Daphnia pulex: one gene and its partner. The protein of the gene in region 1 purifies or fractionates together with the protein of each later gene. This does not show direct contact. Links are inferred from orthologs where the notes say so. Each region holds a gene or a part of one and is shown on either strand. Other genes may lie near its edges.

What was found.
Region 2: the proteins of protein AATF-like (region 1) and nucleolar protein 10-like purify together in Homo sapiens (affinity purification with mass spectrometry; 4 studies listed by BioGRID and IntAct, counting the BioPlex papers as one, with this or other methods). This does not show direct contact. The link is inferred for Daphnia pulex from reciprocal best matches to the Homo sapiens genes AATF and NOL10.

Annotation. Positions count from the first base shown.
Region 1 is NC_060028.1:5,994,847-6,004,173, reverse strand, and holds protein AATF-like, read right to left. Parts: upstream 5,222-9,327; 5' UTR 5,107-5,221; coding exon 5,016-5,106; intron 4,954-5,015; coding exon 4,142-4,953; intron 4,082-4,141; coding exon 4,014-4,081; intron 3,945-4,013; coding exon 3,548-3,944; intron 3,477-3,547; coding exon 3,325-3,476; intron 3,263-3,324; coding exon 3,061-3,262; 3' UTR 2,981-3,060; downstream 1-2,980. Other genes in the region: sorting nexin lst-4-like, read left to right, coding at 5,483-5,494, 5,651-5,812, 5,963-6,070, 6,138-6,498, 6,577-6,729, 6,796-7,030, 7,103-7,246, 7,310-7,505 and 2 more; very-long-chain 3-oxoacyl-CoA reductase-B-like, read right to left, coding at 8,752-8,898, 8,980-9,192. UniProt on the Homo sapiens protein: Part of the small subunit (SSU) processome, first precursor of the small eukaryotic ribosomal subunit.
Region 2 is NC_060022.1:6,104,599-6,113,684, forward strand, and holds nucleolar protein 10-like, read right to left. Parts: upstream 5,792-9,086; 5' UTR 5,695-5,791; coding exon 5,629-5,694; intron 5,401-5,628; coding exon 5,003-5,400; intron 4,945-5,002; coding exon 4,732-4,944; intron 4,677-4,731; coding exon 4,445-4,676; intron 4,389-4,444; coding exon 4,124-4,388; intron 4,064-4,123; coding exon 3,903-4,063; intron 3,848-3,902; coding exon 3,654-3,847; intron 3,583-3,653; coding exon 3,492-3,582; intron 3,433-3,491; coding exon 3,355-3,432; intron 3,283-3,354; coding exon 3,071-3,282; intron 3,001-3,070; coding exon 2,901-3,000; intron 2,832-2,900; coding exon 2,706-2,831; 3' UTR 2,662-2,705; downstream 1-2,661. Other genes in the region: protein LSM14 homolog B-like, read right to left, coding at 1-44, 312-432; cytochrome c1, heme protein, mitochondrial-like, read left to right, coding at 1,226-1,294, 1,371-1,418, 1,484-1,632, 1,693-1,825, 1,887-2,180, 2,242-2,466; NADH dehydrogenase [ubiquinone] iron-sulfur protein 6, mitochondrial-like, read left to right, coding at 5,844-6,011, 6,131-6,379.

The DNA of each region.
Region 1 (9,327 bases):
AGCAAATTGCAAAAAGCAATGTAGTTGAATTCAATAATGTTTCGTACTGAAAGACTTTAGTTCAATAATGCATTTATTTAGATCTTTAAAATATCTTACGGGGGTGTTGGCACTTTTCCTGCTAGTCTGGTCATGGAGGCCAGCAATGTCCACATTTGCTTCACATTGCAATTTCATCTCTATATGCAGTCTGCAGTTCTGAAATGTTATCTTGATATCGTCCAATAACTGAAATAGAAAGTTTACAATGAAATATGTTCTAGAAGCACACACACGACGTTTAGCTACTCACTCACTCAAACCAGGTTTCTTGAAAAAAAAAATTTCAGTGCTGAAAGAAGCAAGGTTAATTAGTGAAGGCAGCAACTTTAACACAGTTTTCTCCAACTTCACACTTCACTGAAAACAGAAAAGAAAACAAGACGTTCGAAGCGGCCGACACACCACAAACTGCCAACGAGAACAACATTGGACACTAAAATGCAGAACAGTAAAATATGGGAATTCCGCTTCTTCTTTTCGGCAAATAAAGAGAGATAGGATTTGGCCACCTGGTGCCAAGACCAAGAAATTATTCAGGACAGCTGACGCGAGTTTTTTTTTTTTTTTTAAGTACTGTACCTCTGCTGGGACTCTTTCCAAGAGGAAAGATTTTACCCTTTCATCCATGGTCAACATATCCAGTATTGTTTTTGAGATCGTAAATCATGTTCTGTTCTCCTCCATGAAGGCGACAAATTCCAACCTTCGAGCGCGAACGGGTCATGGACGTTCAGGCCCCGGCGTTCAGCAGGCCCTACTTTCTATGTGGGCGCGAACGAGATATCTCTGAAGACGCGTGTTGACCAACTTGAATCTGAATAACACTCAATTCATAAATTTTATAAAATTAATTTTCTTAATTGCACAATCTCTCTCAGACACTTCCCTCACTCTCAGAATCGAAGACTTTTTTGCATTTCAAGAAAGTAAGAGACCGCATTCTATTTTCTGAAATCAGTCAGTAAGAAGTAAGAGGCAGTTTTCTATAAAATAGAAAGTGGTCTCTTATTAATTTTGTTTGCATTCTAAGATTGAATTGTGAGAACGCTACCATAAGCGTCATTATCATTCGCTATCTTAGCCAAGTTTTTCACAACAATCCCACGTCACCCCAGTCCAAGTGTCTCATCTTTGTGTTAACTTGCCACTTGGGACTTTTGAAGTCTTGGAATATGCTGTAATTTTTTTGCAATTTCCGAAAGTTATATCATGTGTAAAATCAATTAACATTTATTTAAATAAAAAATTCCGAAATGGTTTAAAAAATATAAAAAAAGGAAATAGACCTGGCCAAGAAAAAAGGGTGTGGAGTTCCTTGCCTGGCAAGGTTTTCTTTCAAGAACTTACCAGTATTCAAATAGAATTGTTTTGCTAAAGGTAATCGGCAATAATCATTGCAACAGTCAATGATCAGCCGGCCACAATAGGGCTCTTTGGGATCTGTTTTCTTTAGCCGTTTTATCTGGCAACGCAGCATGGCTGGGCGTTTTGGTAGGGCGAGAAAGGGGAGAAGAGGGAGAATGGGAGGAATGGGAGGGAGGAGGGCGTCCTCCCATTCTCCCTCTTCTCCCCTTTCTCTCCTCCCAAAGAGAAGATCCCAAAGAGCCCTATACACATGGCCAGGAGAGTATTCTGTTTAGCTACCGTTTTCCAGGGGTAGCAAATTGGGGATAGCCAGTGTCAGGTAGCCGGTGTCGGGGTAGTCAGTGTCGGCCTTCTGGGTAGCCAGTTTCGGGTAGCCAGTGTCGGGGTAGCCAGTGTTGACCCCCCGGGTAGCCAGTGTCGAAGGTAGCAGGTGTCGTTTTCGCCCACCGGAAGAAGATGTCTTGTCGTTTTTTATACAATGACTTTCATCACATATTATCAATTCCGGTCCTGTTTTAACTAAAGCTCAGTAAATTTCTGTGATAAACAGAGAAAACGCGCGCTTATGAGGGGGCGACAACTCGGCGTGGGTGGGAATGGAGGGAGGGGAGAAGGGGACTAGAACGGGCCAAAAAATAAAATTTATTTTAAATTTACAATTGACTATATATGACGCGAAAAGTCTGAAAATGAAGTCTGTTGTTGAGTTAGTAAAGTTCTTCATTTCATAGTTTTCCGCGTCTTCCTAGCTTAACCCATTTTATTGTTATCCCCCCTTAAAGTACCCTAATTTGCATGGAGCTCTATGCATGGTGTTCCCATTTTCCAAATCTTAGGGATTCATTTAAAATCTACCCTTCCATTGATCGAAAAAATCTAAAAAAGAAATAGCTTAATGCTCTCCATAATGGCTACGGCCAAAAAAAATTCGTCTCGTTCCGACGAAAATTTGATTTTTGGGAACGCCGAGAAAAAACGCCTTTCTCCACAAGGTTCTCTCGCGTGTTCCCAAACTTTAGGTAGGTACAGTATCGTCCAAAAAAATCCGAACGCACCTCTTTTTCAAAAGCCCAGTTTAGTGTATATTTTTTGTTTTTAGCTTTCAAGACTTCATATTATGTGTAGAATGAATTGTTTTACAAAGTTCATTTTTTAGGATTAAGAAAAAAATCTCGAAGAATTTTAAAAAAAGAAAGAAAGAGACCATGGTGTTCGGATTTTTTTGGACGATACTGTACTGTATTTACAAAATAATTACAAAAGATATTGACCGTAATGGAAGATGCTTTAGAATGCATTTTATGTAGTATATTAGCGTATTAGATCACGGGTAATCTCTCTTGCCTGTTGCCTTCTTATAACAAATATCGACTACATGAAACGTCCCAAATCAGACACTAGGTAAGGTTTTTGCTTTAGTTTTAGGTTTATGCTTATGCGAGTGCTCGTACGTTATACAGCTATTATTGCATTACTTTTAGGTTTGTGCGTTCCCTGAAAAGTGCCGCGAACGGCTTGCCATAATTTCTTGAAGCCTACATTAGAATACTTTAACAAAAACAATGTAGAAAAATAGGCTGTTCGCACACACGAGACTGAAAGTTTATTTAGACGTCTTATATAAAGAACATACATAAAAGACAGTCATCACAATTACTTAACAGTAGGCCCTGACCCGAACAACGAGGCAAACAGCTCATTTTTGGCAATGTCATTCCATGAAGCCTCAGGATACGGAGCCATGAAGGAAACAAGTTTAGGATGCACCTGATATCGAAGTCTTCGTCCTTTGCTTGCCTTTGAATCGACTTTTCGTTTGGCTTTCGATCGCAACTTTTGAATTTCTAACCATTGCCTGCATTTAAAGTTCACACTTAGAAACAACATGTATTAGATACAACACCAAACGCTACTAACCTTCCAAGAGCAATTTGATTTGAGCCAGCTTCGCCAGTTTTTTTTTCAATTAACTCACGAAGTAATTGATGATAGAAATCATCGTCATCATAAATTTCAGGATCGAATTCTTCATAATCGACTTCTTTAGTTTCGGGTAAATGTTGGTCATCCTAAGGAGAATTACTCAATAATTACTTGAACATATTAAGGGGTAAAAAACGATTGTTAGCTATCAAATTACTTGTATGTGTTCCTCTCCTTTTCCATTAATTGTATTTTCCTTGGGACTGAGTTTAGAAATAGATCCCAGTATGCGATAGGTAGATCTCTTTATCCGTGTACGATTTATCAACCGTTGCTTGTCGCTAAGGATACCCTCAATTTGTTTCAAGATAGATTGATCAAAAGCCCCAAATCCGGCTTTGCTTCCAGACCCCGTTCTCCCTGATGCTAATCTTGTTTTTTCATTCCACATGTTCAGTGTACGATGCCAAAAACCGCGCAATTTTTCGTGTCTTTCTCCAATCTCGGATTCATATCCGACTATTTTTTGTTTTTTGCGCTTTGGTCCTCCATCATCAATGTCCTCGTCGTCTTCTCCAGCTTCTTCGTCAGTGTCACTTGGAATTTCTTCATCACTATTTGACAAGGAAACACTTTTAAATTTTAATTAATGCCTTTTAAACTGAAAAATTAACATTTAATACCTGCCCTCTTCGTTAGACTTTCGTTGCGTTAATGCTTTTGTTTGTGGATTAGATTTAAGAAGAAGCTCCTGAATTTTTAATTTTTTTATTATTTTAAGTAATTTAAAATACAATAAAACAGGAATTACCTCTAGCTCAAGGCAGTTGTCCAATAATGATTTAATAGCTGCCTGAGCACCTTGACCTGCTGCAACAAAATGGTTTTCTCCACTTGCTTTAGTAAAAAGCTTGTAATTTGAAGGAGCTTGAGGTAACTGATTACATAAATTTATTCCTTTATGCATCTTTATACGACACTCAAGAAGATGATCCCATAATGAGAGTTGATTTTGGATAGATTTTCCCTTGTTTATATCATTATCATGAGAATTTTTTGACATTTTTTTAACTTTTTCATTTTCTTCTCCTTCACTGTCATCTACACTTCCAATGTCTCCTTCCTCTTCTTCCTCCTCTTCTCCCTCCTCTTCACCCTCCTCTTCACCCTCCTCTTCACCCTCCTCTTCACCCTCTCCTTCTTCAAAATCAGCTTCTTCGTCATCTTCAGATTTATTCAATTCACTTTCATTACTATCTTCTTCATGAATATCAGATTTCAATGAACCACTTTCGTCTTCTGATTCCTGGAAGATGTTGGGTTTCTCTGATTTGTTGTTTGTTTCTTTCATGAATTTGTTCTTAAATTCCAGAATATTTTCTTCCCCACTTTCATTATCAGATTCTAAAGATGACTCAGAACTTTTGTAGCCTTCTCCTACAGGAGAATTTAGATCTTTGCGACTGACACGCTTCCCAGCATATCGGCTATCTGAAACAGCTAATAATTCCACATTCTTTTGGCGTAGATTAGATTTATTTTTTGGTGCTTTATTCTTAACCACCTGAGTGTTATCATACGACTCATATTGGTCATCAAAGGACTCCAGCCTTGCTTTACTTTCTAGAAAGATTAGAAACACTTTAAGAAAAACAAGTAGGTGTTATTTTGTTTCAATTTGTTACCTTCGTTATATTCATCTTCTGGATCAGCAAACTGAGGTGTTGGATTGGCAAGTTCGGCTAATCTTTCACTTAGGGATTTGCCTTTCGACATTTCATAAATAAATGTTTCACAATGTATACATTTAAGTTTCAGTATTCTAAAATAATTGATACCGCGTGTCGCGTGTTTTACTACCAATACACGTTGCAGACGAATTCGAACAATCGTACTTCTTTTGTTTTTCTTTCAAACCAATGCAGTTAATATCTTTCTACAGTAGATGGCATTACTTACTAGACAGAAGAAACATTAGGGCCTTAAAATGTCACTCGGGTCTCAGATTTTGTAACTTATCGTTTGGTTTCAGATTCAGCTCTGCTCATCACTGACTCATTCCTCTCAGCTGTTATTAGGGGGCGAGACGAAATCAGTTTGACAGCACACAGCAGCAGGGGTATTGTAAAAAGCTGAGTTTTTATTCTTCGAGATGGCTGGTCAGGTAACTTTTGAGTTTTGATTCCGGTTTTTCTAATTATCAGTTTCGTCTTCTAGTTAGAACTATAAATTTTCTCACTCCTGTAACTGCTGTTACCATTTCATTAACCATATCCGGTTTCGAAACCAGTTTAATTTACAAAATGAATCGTTTTTCTAGGCGCGCGTCCTTTATGATTTTGAAGGCCAGCCTGGCACATCTGAACTATCTATTGTTACTGGTGAAGTTCTAACTGTCACTAGTAAGGATGTTGGTGAAGGATGGTGGGAAGGTAGTAATCAACGTGGAGTTAGTGGAATATTTCCTGCAGCCTACGTTGAGGTATGAATTTCTTCCTACTCCTGTTATGTCATGCATGCTAGTGTAAAACCAGAAAAGAATTTTGTATCATTTGGATTTTTCTGTATTAATAACATGTAAATTGAATTATTTTAAACCTCAAAAAACCATTTTATTGTATTAATTCAACAGGCTATTGAACAAAATTACAATGCACCTCCTGCTATGCCTCCTCCTCCATTGCCCCAGATATACGTAGAGGAAAATGTAGCTCCAGCGATTCAACAGCAACAATCACAGGTATTCCAAAAACATTGTGGAGATTCCTGGTAACTGTATTAATAAGGTATTTTCAATCTACTTCCAGTACGACGATGATTGGGATGACGACTGGGATGATGACGTTTCTGAAGCCAACCAAGGTAGCAATCCGGGAAACCCTGCTGCAGGTGGGAGAAGCAATAGCGACGTTGGTAGTGCGCTTGATGTCAACATGGCAGGGTTGAAATTGGGAGACGGTAAAGGAACCGTTCGTAAAAATTTGAACCGGTTTTCTCACTTCGTTAAAACTGGCGGAGAAGCTTACATTCTGGGGGCAAACAAAGTGACGTCCACTGATAGTGACCAAATCCACATCATCGAAACCAACAACGGTATCACATGGGCTCCGAATCCTCAACCTTACTCGTGTGTAGTGGCTTCACCAAAGAAAGAATCAAAATTGAAAGGTAATATTTTTACAACCTAGTCGACTAATTTTTAAATATAATTTAATGTGTCAACTTGTTTCTATGTTTTCATCGTAGGCCTAAAAAGTTTCATTGCCTACCAGTTGACACCGTCGTTAAACAATATCCAGGTTTCTAGGCGATACAAACATTTCGATTGGCTTCACGAAAGACTTGTGGAAAAATTTTGCATCATTCCCATTCCTCCCCTTCCAGACAAGCAAATTTCTGGTGATTTCTTATATTTGTAGAATTTTTGGTTGAAGTCGATTTGCTGAACTTGTGTACTTAAAATAGGTCGGTATGAAGAACAATTTATCGAGCGAAGACGTCTACAGTTGCAATCATTTGTTAGCCGTGTGTGTGACCACCCAATTCTCTCACGCTCCGATGTCTGGTTGCACTTTTTAACGTGCACAGATGCCAAACGATGGAAAACGGGCAAGCGGAAAGCTGAAAAAGACGAAGTAATTGGCGCCGCAATCTTTGGTGTTGTACAAGTACCAGAAAAGTCGCTTGACCCACTACAACTGTAAGTTTTTGTTGTTGTTTTTTTTTTTTTCAACTGTTTATTTGATCGCTTTTACATTTTTCTTGATCATAGTGACTCTCAGACCGAAGCTTTTGGGCGTTTCGTGCAGTCGTTTGATACAGCTGTCCGCATGATGCAAAGCAACTTTGCCGAACAAGTAAAACGGCAGCAAGGTCCATATAAACGCGACTATCAACGTGTTGGCCAATCATTCAGGTAGGTTTCAAAGAGAAGTGCTCCGCCCTTGTATTGTTGTTAACCAACTGTTTGTCTCTGTAGAACTCTTGGCACGGCTATGGAATTGCTAGAGACAGCTCCTCTGACCAGAGCACTTTCCCATACTGCTGACACGTATGATCAGATAGCTCTTCTTTGTGAGGACCAACCACGATTGGATTTCGAGCCGATGGGAGATTTACTACACGATTATCGTGGACTACTTGCCTCATTTCCCGACATCATTACCGTCCACAAGGTAACCCAGCAATTTCGGCAATTTTTAAAACAATACTAATTTTTAATTTATAGGGGGCCCTTCAAAAGCGGCGCGAGTTGGAACGCTCCGCATCTGAGGGTAAAACGGAAAGCACCGTTGTAGTTCGTGCTCAACAACGAACAGATGTTGTTTCCTACACGCTACTGGCTGAAATGTCCTATTTCCATCAACAACGTGTTCACGATTTTAATGCAGCCGCAAAAATCTTCCTACAGGAACAGATCACTTACTATCAAAAGGTTATTATTTATTTTTCCTTTTTTTTCTTTTTGCAACTTCTCTACTAATACCAGATGTTTGAAATGTATTTCATTTAGATTGTCGATCATCTGCAGTCCACCTTATCCCAGTACAAGGATGTCTAAGAAAAAACAACAACCGCAGTACTCGGATTTTAAAAGTCGCATTATTTTTTTTTAATTCCATTCCTTCATGCGAATGAACGAAGTTTCTCCTAATTACTTTGGAATCCTGGCCGCCACGGATTTTATCTTTTGTTTTCTTTCTTACGGGAAACATTCCCTCAGATGGTTTGAAAATAGTCGCATGTTAAAATTCTTTTTGCTTACTTTGTTGTTTCGCTTTTTCTTCTACGTAGCTACGTTGTCTATCTTCATGAGCGGGCAACCGATTTACGAAGCCATTCTTCCAAATTGGCAAGAACGAAGGCTATCAAGTGCAAACAGTGTCATAGTCAGACTGTGTTTCTGTGTGCAGCTCACTGCCGAGTTTTCGTTACACGAGAGTTGTCGTTATTCAGAGAGAAACGGTAGAGTTGTGTAGATGAGAAAAATGGTTTAACGTGCACATTGCTCGCGAGTCTTAAAAGTTTATGTGCTGTTAATAAGTTGAGAAGCACAAGAACCATAACAGTGAGCTTCTATGTCATTTACATTTTCCTATTCAATTGTCATTCAAGTTTGTCATCTCCATCGATGGTGCGCTTAGCCAGCCTTACTTTTCAAATGGTACGGAATACATAAAATTTGTATCGATAATATCATAACCTGACAGAATATTGTGTATGAATTTTTATTAATGATTAGCCGGTGAAAAAGAAGAACAATTATGTGAGCCTAGAATTGATACAGTCATAGTCATTTACACAACAATGAGCAGAAGAAAGCGTGAAGAGCCTTAAGGCTACTACTGCCTTTTGATGGATTCGATGAAGTGTGGAATGAAAATCTATTGGATCGGCTGGACTCCAACAACATTAGTCCCGTTAAGCGTCTTTTCGGGGTTTGACTTCCGCCATCTTGAGTCGCTGCTGGCGCCTAACAGCCCGTGTGCGGATGGAAAAGAGACCGTACCAGGCGACGCGTTCAACGACCGGTCGCACGAAACTCAGTGCCACGTTGTAAAAGCCGATCTAAAATAATTCCCAACCAGTAAAAGATTAGATATACACAATAAAAATAAATCAAAGCTGATAAGAAAAAACACGTTATACCTGAATCTTGTGAACCCAGTAACCGGGAGAAGATACTTCAAGCCCAAGTGTGTTCATGTGACCCCGGACAAACTGGGTAGGACTGGGTACGGTCAGACTGGACTTGAATTTGCTCATGTTTGTGGCCACAAAGCTGGGCAGCACGCATTGCACCGTCACACCAAAATGTTGAGTTTCCAGTGACAGATCACGACTGAATTTCTCGACGAATGCCTGAAAATCCAACAAAACCGCCAGTATGAAAGACCCGCCGGGCATCGAATTAAGACTGCGTGACGTAATTGGTTACAAAAGCAACCCACAACATTTTTTTTTTCGTTGATGATTTCAGTCTTCATTCGGTGCCTG
Region 2 (9,086 bases), on another chromosome or scaffold:
AACAGGGTTATCTGTAGGCCGGTTTTCCGTTCCAAACATACGCACTAGAATAACAAAGATGATTAGAACATGCTGACATTCACAGTACTTCTTACTGAATAAGGAGAATTATTCCCTAGCTATAATTAAAAACAAGTACAATGACACAACTGACAAGTCACCCTACCAAACACTGCAACCAAAATAGATGCCAACTATTTAAATTAGTCATGTCAACAGTTACTATGCATAGTTGACATGAAATGAAAAGAAACAGTTTTCGAGTAAAATGTTTCGTATAAAATACATCACATCACAAAAGAAATGCTTACCTTTAGCCAAAGCCAAAGTTGACTCATTGGGATTCAGTGTGAATAGGATCCCTTCGTAACGGATCTCCGACTTGGAGATGAGACTGATTTTACTGCCTAGTAACTGCATAGCTTTACTCATTTTCGAAATTCAGCCTTAATTGGCTACACAATTTCCGTCCCAACTCGATGAATTCGGATAAGTATTTTCGTCTAATCGGAATCCGTCGCACCGGTGATCGAAAATTGAATGATTTCCAAAAAGAAACGAAGCTACACAAGAGAACTCAACTCCGTTGTTAGGGGCGACGTTGACAGATTTGTTCGAAATTTCAGCAACTGCAGCCTGTTGACGAAAGTGCCTCGGGATGTTTCGTGTCTTGTTGCTAAATTGGAGGTAGAGTGTGATTTGTTTTAATCCATTTAACTTTTTTCAACCTGAAAAGAAAAGCAACTTATTATTCCCGTAGATTATTTGACTATCCAGTATCTAATTTGTATTTTGTTTAATGCTACTTTCCCCCAAGTTTTTTTTTTCATTTTCATAGCATGTGATTGTGACACAAAATTTTTTCCAAAAATGATTTCTTGAATTATTCCAATGAAATATGGAAGTGATAAGAATTTTTTAAATTACAGATCGATGAATAATACCAAAAAACCAAATATAAATAATAAATAATGTCATTTGTGGTTTGAAAAGCTAACGAAATAAATCGATTGGTGATCTCATTTTCTTAAAATTAAAATTTTACGGTAGTAAACTTAGAGTGATTAAATTTATTAATCAGTTATTGATAATATATAGTCATGCAAATTTATTTAATCAAAAATAAATGATTAACTTGAAAAGTCTTTTACGTAATATATGGAATTAATTGATGTTTCAACGTTGCATTTGACTTGGACGACCCGTTACGATAATTTCGTCAAAGATGGCCGGAGTTGCTGGTAAATTCGTGAAATCTGGGCTTCTTAGAGTCCAAAACAATGCCGTTATCCAGGTTTGGAATGCTTTAAGCATACTATAATATTCATTTAATCCAACATAGGGAAATAACGTTCGAATCTTGGTTTTAGCAATCCCATCTGTCTACGTTGCGTGAGCTCTCGGCCGGCAAAAAAGCGGTAAGAAATAATACAAGGAAGTGTTTTAGGTTATCAAATCTCAGAATATTGCATAATTTTCTTAGGGATTAGCGGTAATTGGGTCTCTAATTGGTGGAGCAGCTGGTTTGGCATACACTTTAGACCAGTCGGTAAAGGCTTCAGGCCTGGAGTTACATGCTCCCAGTTTTCCATGGAGTCACAATGGGCTCTTTTCATCTCTGGATCATGCTAGGTATGCTTAATTTTAAAGTGATTTGTTGTTCTGAATGTACATAACTATTTTTGGAAATAGCATACGTCGTGGTTATGAAGTCTACAAACAAGTCTGCTCTGCATGCCACAGCATGAAGTATTTGGCTTATCGCAACTTGATTGGTGTCAGCCATACAGAGGATGAAGCCAAGGAGGAAGCTGCTGGCATTCAGGTCTGTATTAATGGTTTAACTGTCAATTTTCCAATGTAGTTCAAAGTAATATCCATTGTAGGTTACTGATGGGCCCAATGAAGATGGTAACATGTTCCAACGCCCTGGTAAGCTTTCTGATAGATTTCCGAGCCCATATGCTAACGAAGAAGCTGCCAGGAGCGCCAACAACGGTGCCCTTCCACCAGACCTAAGTTACATTACCGCTGCTCGTCACGGCGGAGAGGATTATTTATTCTCTCTGTTAACTGGCTATACCGATCCACCAGCTGGTATCACATTACGTGATGGTCTTTATTATAATCCTTATTTCCCTGGAGGCGCTATTGGTATGGCTCAAGCTCTTTACAATGAGGTACGATTTCTGTTCACTTTTTCAACAAAGCGATTCTAACAAGCATATCTTTGATCTTAAGGTGATTGAATACGCGGATGGTACGCCAGCTACTGCCAGTCAAATGGCTAAAGATGTGTCCACCTTCCTCAAGTGGTCAGCAGAGCCCGAACATGATGATCGCAAGAAGATGGCTTTGAAAGCTTTGATGCTATTCTCCTTCTTGATTTCAGTAGCTTACTACTGGAAACGCCACAAGTGGAGTGTTGTTAAGAGCAGAAAAATCATCTACAAGCCAAAAGAATAGGATGTGTCGATTACAGAAAAATTTTATGCAATGTAGAAGGGAGGATGACGGTGCAATCTTTGAGCTCTCCCTACCATCATCTACATTTATTGGTTTAGACACCCAAAAACCGATTGATATAGCGATTGTACATTCGAGTCAAAACATCTTCGACTCAACTGTAGGAATAATAATAAAGATAAGGTTTAAACACCGTAAACACGAAATGTCTTGTTTATTTCACTTAATCAACAAATAAATCAAAATCTTCCGCGACCACCCCGCCCACGACCCCGTGTTCTCAAGTGATTGGCAGATCGAATAATTTTACGTCGCTCTTCATGATGTTGTTCGGCTTGTTCTCTAGCTTTTGTGACGCGTTCACTCTAAATGGTCAAATTTTAATTAATCCGTAATTTGAAAAAAAAAAAAAAAAACTAAATTATGATGAATACCTGTGGGAGCGTGAAAGTCATTTCTCTAGAACCAGCTGATGGAGCAAGCTTAACTTTGTCTACATCTTCTTCTAAATGAATTCGCTCACCAAGCGAAGCCCTGAGTCAAATTGAAATAGCATACAACATTAAAATGTAAACACAACAAAATCGAAGATAATTATTGATACTTGGCCAATTTCTTCTTAGGTTGATCAGTGGTTGAACGGAACCCTTGGAATTTTTGCCCAGGTTTTAATGCCATGAACTTAGGACCTTCCAGCTTCTCTTGTTGTCTTTCCAATTTTCTCTGTTGAAACTTCTCTTCTCTTATAATCTTATGCTGTAACTTGATTTCATTTCGAAGACTTGCGTCGTCAGAATCACTGCTGCTGTCATCGGTCTGTTGGGGAAAAATTGTATACAGTATAAGAAACGTTTACCATTAACATGCGGTATGAAGTATTTGTATTACCGAAATTGTCCGTTTGCGACCCTTTCTTTCACTATCTGAAAATTCATCATCATTAAGTGGATTTTCCGTGCTCGTTCCCTGCAATGAATTAATTACTTTATTGTGTCATTTTGTAAGGAGCTATTTTTTATTCCTACCTCGACGGGCTCGAACTGGTCTTCGATGAGAGCCTTTTTGATACGTTTTTCTCGGATTTTGTCCAAACGTGAAACTGCAGGATTTAGTAATCTGTTGACGGAATAGGAACGCATTGTTTACACTACCAAGTCGTTTTGTTCTACATCACAAATAAATATTACCTGAATTCTTCAGAAGATTTGTCTATCTGGAAGTTCGGGTTTACGAAAAGATCTTTGAAACGCGAATCATTTAGAATGTTGGAGCTCATAAGTAATTTTGCACCACTCTTCTTTCCAACTGCTTCAGCATCATCAACCGCCTTACTATCCTCCATAAGCTTAAGTGCAAGCTCACGGTTAATCGCAGGAAGTTTCTAAAAAACAAACAATTATTGTTTTTGATCCAAATTTGAATTTTAGGTGTATTACCTGCAATTGAACTCTGCTGGACCGCTGTTGGTCAATTGTTTCCTTTACTTTATTCTGTTTGTAGCGGGTAAGTGATAAAGGTTCAACAATGGATTTGGCTTTCCTATATAGTCGCATGTCGATAAAATAACCGTGCATGTAGGCACGCAATAGATTGGTCCCTATAAAGGAAAAGGCGTGTTAAAAAGAAGAATAGAATTCTAATAAAATTTGGAAAATACCAATAAGGTGACCGAATCCGAGGTCATGTAGTTCATCTACTGTCAAGAATTTGTAATCGTCATAGACGGCAGCAGTTTCTCCCTCCTCTAATTCTTCTGTCAACGAGTCAAGGAAACTACACCAACGAGGAGCCGGTCCAAGATTAGGTATGTAATAAGTGAGCATTTTTTTGTCTTCCGTAGCCATGAACATCATACCACTTGAAGGTACCAAACATAAATCGTTCAAATCTGATGTTGCTTCAACAGAAACGTAAGGTTCACCCTATTGACATTAAAAGTATTATAGCATTTTGATTATTATTTTTTAATTTTATTTACCGTATTTCTATCCCACAATCGAACGATTCTGGAATCCATTGACGCTACCAAATCATGATTCAGGTGATGAAAATCTACTGTTTTTATTGGAAGTCCATATCGGTGGTCTTTCACTTTAGTCGGACGATTGGATCGCAAATCATAAAGTAAGATCTGGCCTGTTGAAGTTCCAACTCCCAATGTCAGTGCATCACGGAACTTGACAGCCGTGACTTGAGGGACACCGGTAACTCTATAATTAAAAACATGGTAAAATGTGATCTAAAAACGTTAAAAAAACCATTTACTGAGTGTCAGGTGTCACAGAGTGTAAAGCACAATCGAGAACTCCCACTCTATTCCTTGCACGAGGATCCCATGCCTCTATTTTTCCTTCTTTGGAACCACAGACGAACAGCTGATGAAAGGGATTCATATCACAAACGTTAAGAGTGGTTGCTTCTGTTTGAAATGAATTAAGAAACCTCCCTTCTTCTAAATTTAAGCGATACACGTCTGGCCTAAAGAAGATTTACAGTTAACTAGAGCAACTAAGAGTACTCTAATCTTATTGCATACCCGGTACCAACTATGTAAAGGTTGCATGACTGAAAATGATACTTCAAATCTCTTCCAAATTTCGGTATTCTTGTTCTATAGTATCGGCCATACTGAGCGTGAAATTCGACAAATCGATCACACTGCAAGAAAACTACTTTGCTGTAATCCTCTGACAACATTTCAAATTTGATGACTTCTGCATCCATACACCGTTCAAATTTCATGGACAGATTAGCTACTTCATAGCACCGAACTCTTGGTTTGTAGATGCCTGTAGCCATAATATATTTCCCATCCTTTGAAACTTTGATTGAGGTGCTAACCCCAGGCATGTCAAAATCTTGAATGAGCTCCACTCGCCTTCTGATGTCCAAGTCTTTACTTTGCAAGGCTCTCTTTTTTCTGTCTGACAACCACTGCAAAAACAAAAAGAAAATGAGATTTTTTATACAAGACATTAGCCTATCTAAACATCAGAAAATTTTTTAAATAAATTTATGATATTATATTAATCTAGTGATTGTTACAAGCATGGCAATTAACATGCTAACTAACTGTCAGGGAAAACTATAGAAACCACAGAAGCTATGTATACTCATTAATAGCTATTTGAAAGGGAAATTAACACAAAAAGACACGCTTACCTCTGGCAAGGATTTCCCAGCACTCAAATTATAAATTTTCACATTGTTAGAGCTTTGAATCAACATTCTGGTAATTCTTTTGAGAACCTGTCGAAAAACGATTTCACAATCTCACACAACACACGTGCACAATAACTTTAAAATTCGTCTGCTGTTGAGCAGATAGCCGATTAGCCGAAGCTGCTTCAGCTCACGTCTTCTCTTATTACCACTAGATGTCTATCCGTTCGACAATTGCAATGGCGACCTCAAAATTTCGTCTTGTCCAAATCCTTGGAAAACAATTGAAACAAACTCCAATTCGACATGAAATTCCTTTTTCAACTGCTCCAAAAGTATTGAAAGAGGCTGCGGCAGCTGATCTTCCAACTCATACTGGACAGGTAATTATTAGATTTACATGTTTGCTGTTACATATCACAATACTTGGTTGAGAAATTTTTACACATTCGAAAGTCCATGGAAAATCCGAATTTATTTATTTCAACTTTATGTTCTTTAGAAATGGGATGAATCTGATTTTCGTTTAGCTCGATTTGAAAACGCATCGAAGCAAGTCAACACCCGTTTTGCGATTGACCTAATTGCCCAGGTTCCACCAAAAGAAACCAAGTCCCGAATTGTGTCTTGTAATGGAGGAGGTGGCCCACTAGGACATCCACAAGTTTACATCAATTTGGATAAACCCGGTAACCATACTTGTGGCTACTGTGGGCTTCGTTTTGTGAAACCTGATGATCATCATCATTGAAGTTGAAAAAGGACTGTAGAGTCAAAATGTTAATAAATACAAAATAGAAGTTACTTGATAATCCTAATTTAAGTGCGCGAATGTGTGTATCGACAAGATTTCTGCATGGAACGTGTTCCATTTCTGGCAGAAAAAAGGGAAATTTTTTTTAAATAAACATTTAATATTAGAATTTCGAATTGAAAATGAGATTTTTTATTTTTGACCCTTTTCCCCCTTTTCCCCCTTTCCCCCGTTATAGATAACTCTCCCAGGTGTTGTCGCGAATTCTATTTTGTTTTATTTTGTAGGAAGGGTAAATATCACCTACTAGAAGAAAGGAATTTCCCACCTCCGTCCGGCTGTGGCCCGTGACGTTTAAGCCCGGGACATGTCACGGGACGAGGGGAAAAACCCCAAACAGTCATCCCTCTAAGAATTTTTTTTCTTTGGGGCGGTTATAGGGATGGATCGACGGTTCGCGGGATATTCCGAGATATTGTGCCATCTAGTAGTGACTAAAAGAAACTTCCAACGCTAGATTGCTGATAAATTACCGTAAAGAAAATTATTCTTTTTTCAATCCATAAAGGGATCAAAATTTTCCTTCCAAATTTCCAATGATTTAGTCTCACACAGTCGCACGCCATTCACTCTCGTCAGTAAATAGAGAAATTCGCTATTGTTTCCCGTTGAGCGTTGACCAACAGAACCAATTTGGGATGGTCAATGTTGATGGTCTATATTTACAACAAACGCAATTGACATCAATGAAAATGCATGCACATATTTTATATAAAGAGTGCATTGTGTAAAGCCCTAACGTACAACTATATTGATATTATTTTAACAAGAAAATAAAGAGGGCAGTCGGTGTTGTGCAAACATTGTGCGGCGATCCTCCTTGTATATCGGTACCTTGTATGTTTACTCAGGCGCAATGTCACGCTCTGTCAACATTTTCCTCGCTTTCCGTTTCTTCGTGATGTTTCCATTGAGCCTTAGGCATAGAAGGAAGATGGGTTGGTGCGTTTATATTGTGATTGCTTGGTCGTCTGACGCTAATAACTTGATTATATAAGTTTACTATTAATGCGCAGTGACTACTTCGTTCCGTCATTAGCATCTCAGTGACACAGCGCGACTTGGAATTTATTTGTCATTTGAATAAATAATTTGAACATATACGGCTGCATCAATGCTGTGAAATAAATAAAGAGCTTTTTTTATTTAATTTCTTTTCTACATTCTATATAGTGTGTTGAAGAAAACTGAGCGGCGAGGGAACCAAATGATGGGTCTCTGCGGTGAAAAGGGTTATCTATCGCTCGTGGCTCATTTGAATAATTATGGAGCGGTGGTCAGCCATCCGTATCAGTTCCCTCTCTGAATGGTACCGTTTTTCTAACTTTTTTTCTCCTTTTCATTGGTTGGTTTCCCTACGTCTTTGCCAACGGAATAAATATGTTCACGACTTCAAATCAAACAGAATAAATGGTATCCGAAAGTAGAATGACTTGTTTTAATGTTGTTGTTACAACAAGCATTTGTTACGTTGCATTAGATTCGCTCGTTAGATTAGATCTTAATAAAGTCAGAAACGGTCTCAAATATCCAGGATGAGAAACCATCCTGTTTACACTAAACTCGGACTCAAGACTCGGACTAAAATGGCTGTTGTTTTCATTAGCTGCAGGTAATTCCTATATCTTTTTTGGGTCCCTTTAGCAAAAGTTCTGAACCGAAACGGCTTTTCAAATGCCCTCACTTGAAGACGGAAGTAAATGATTCATGTTAACTGCCGCTTGTGGCTCAGTGCAATCATCTAGCGCTTATTTTATCGTCGTTGCTATGTTTACCGTGCTGACTGCTCGACAGGTGGAATGAAAATTCCTTAATAAAACTGTCTTTCTAGGAACGAAATATGTACGTTTGACGCGCGAACTTGAACAGGAAAGTCAAGTTCGAAACTTGATGTCGTGAGATTCGTTGTATTATTTATGACACTATCGTAAAGTTGGGAAGTTGATTATTTTTCTCGGAAGGGAACGTATCTCCGATTCAAAGCCATTCGAACGGCAATGCGAGATGTGATGATAGGCCATTGATCGCTTAGTTTGACAACTGCCGCTATAGTTCAAAATGCCAAAGAATATACCGAGTATCATATTCCACTTTTATTTTTCTTTAACGCTACTTGGTGATCGCTCATGAGTGACATTAAGAATATACAAAAATAAATAACAAGGCTGATTTCTCGCATTTCAATTTCATTAGAGGTCTTTAGAGGTCTTGACAAACTGTTTAAATTGATCGGGCACTATCAGCAGAAATTGAAAATGCCGTTGCTAATTCATTTATTGCCAAGGCTTTGATTTGAAAAAGCTTAGATGACAATACATTTTACAGCCCCTAATAGAATAGACAAAAAAAGGGCTGACTCATTCGTTCAGTTCACTGTGTGTGGTGGCTTCTATTTCGAACTGATGTGTGAAATCGGGTCTAATTATTAGTCCGCCAGATGGCAGCCGAAACATAATCCAACAGAGGGACGGACCCCTCGGTATGCGTTGAGTCAAGGAAAGATGAGAACCAATGGTTTCTGGCTATTTGCCGGCGCTGCTGGCGATTTTTCGTTTCTGTTTTCTTCAAAACAAGAGGAGAAATTAAACCGCTGCGATTTGTGATTGACGCCAAATGCACACAGTCAAGGCGAACGTGTTTTTCC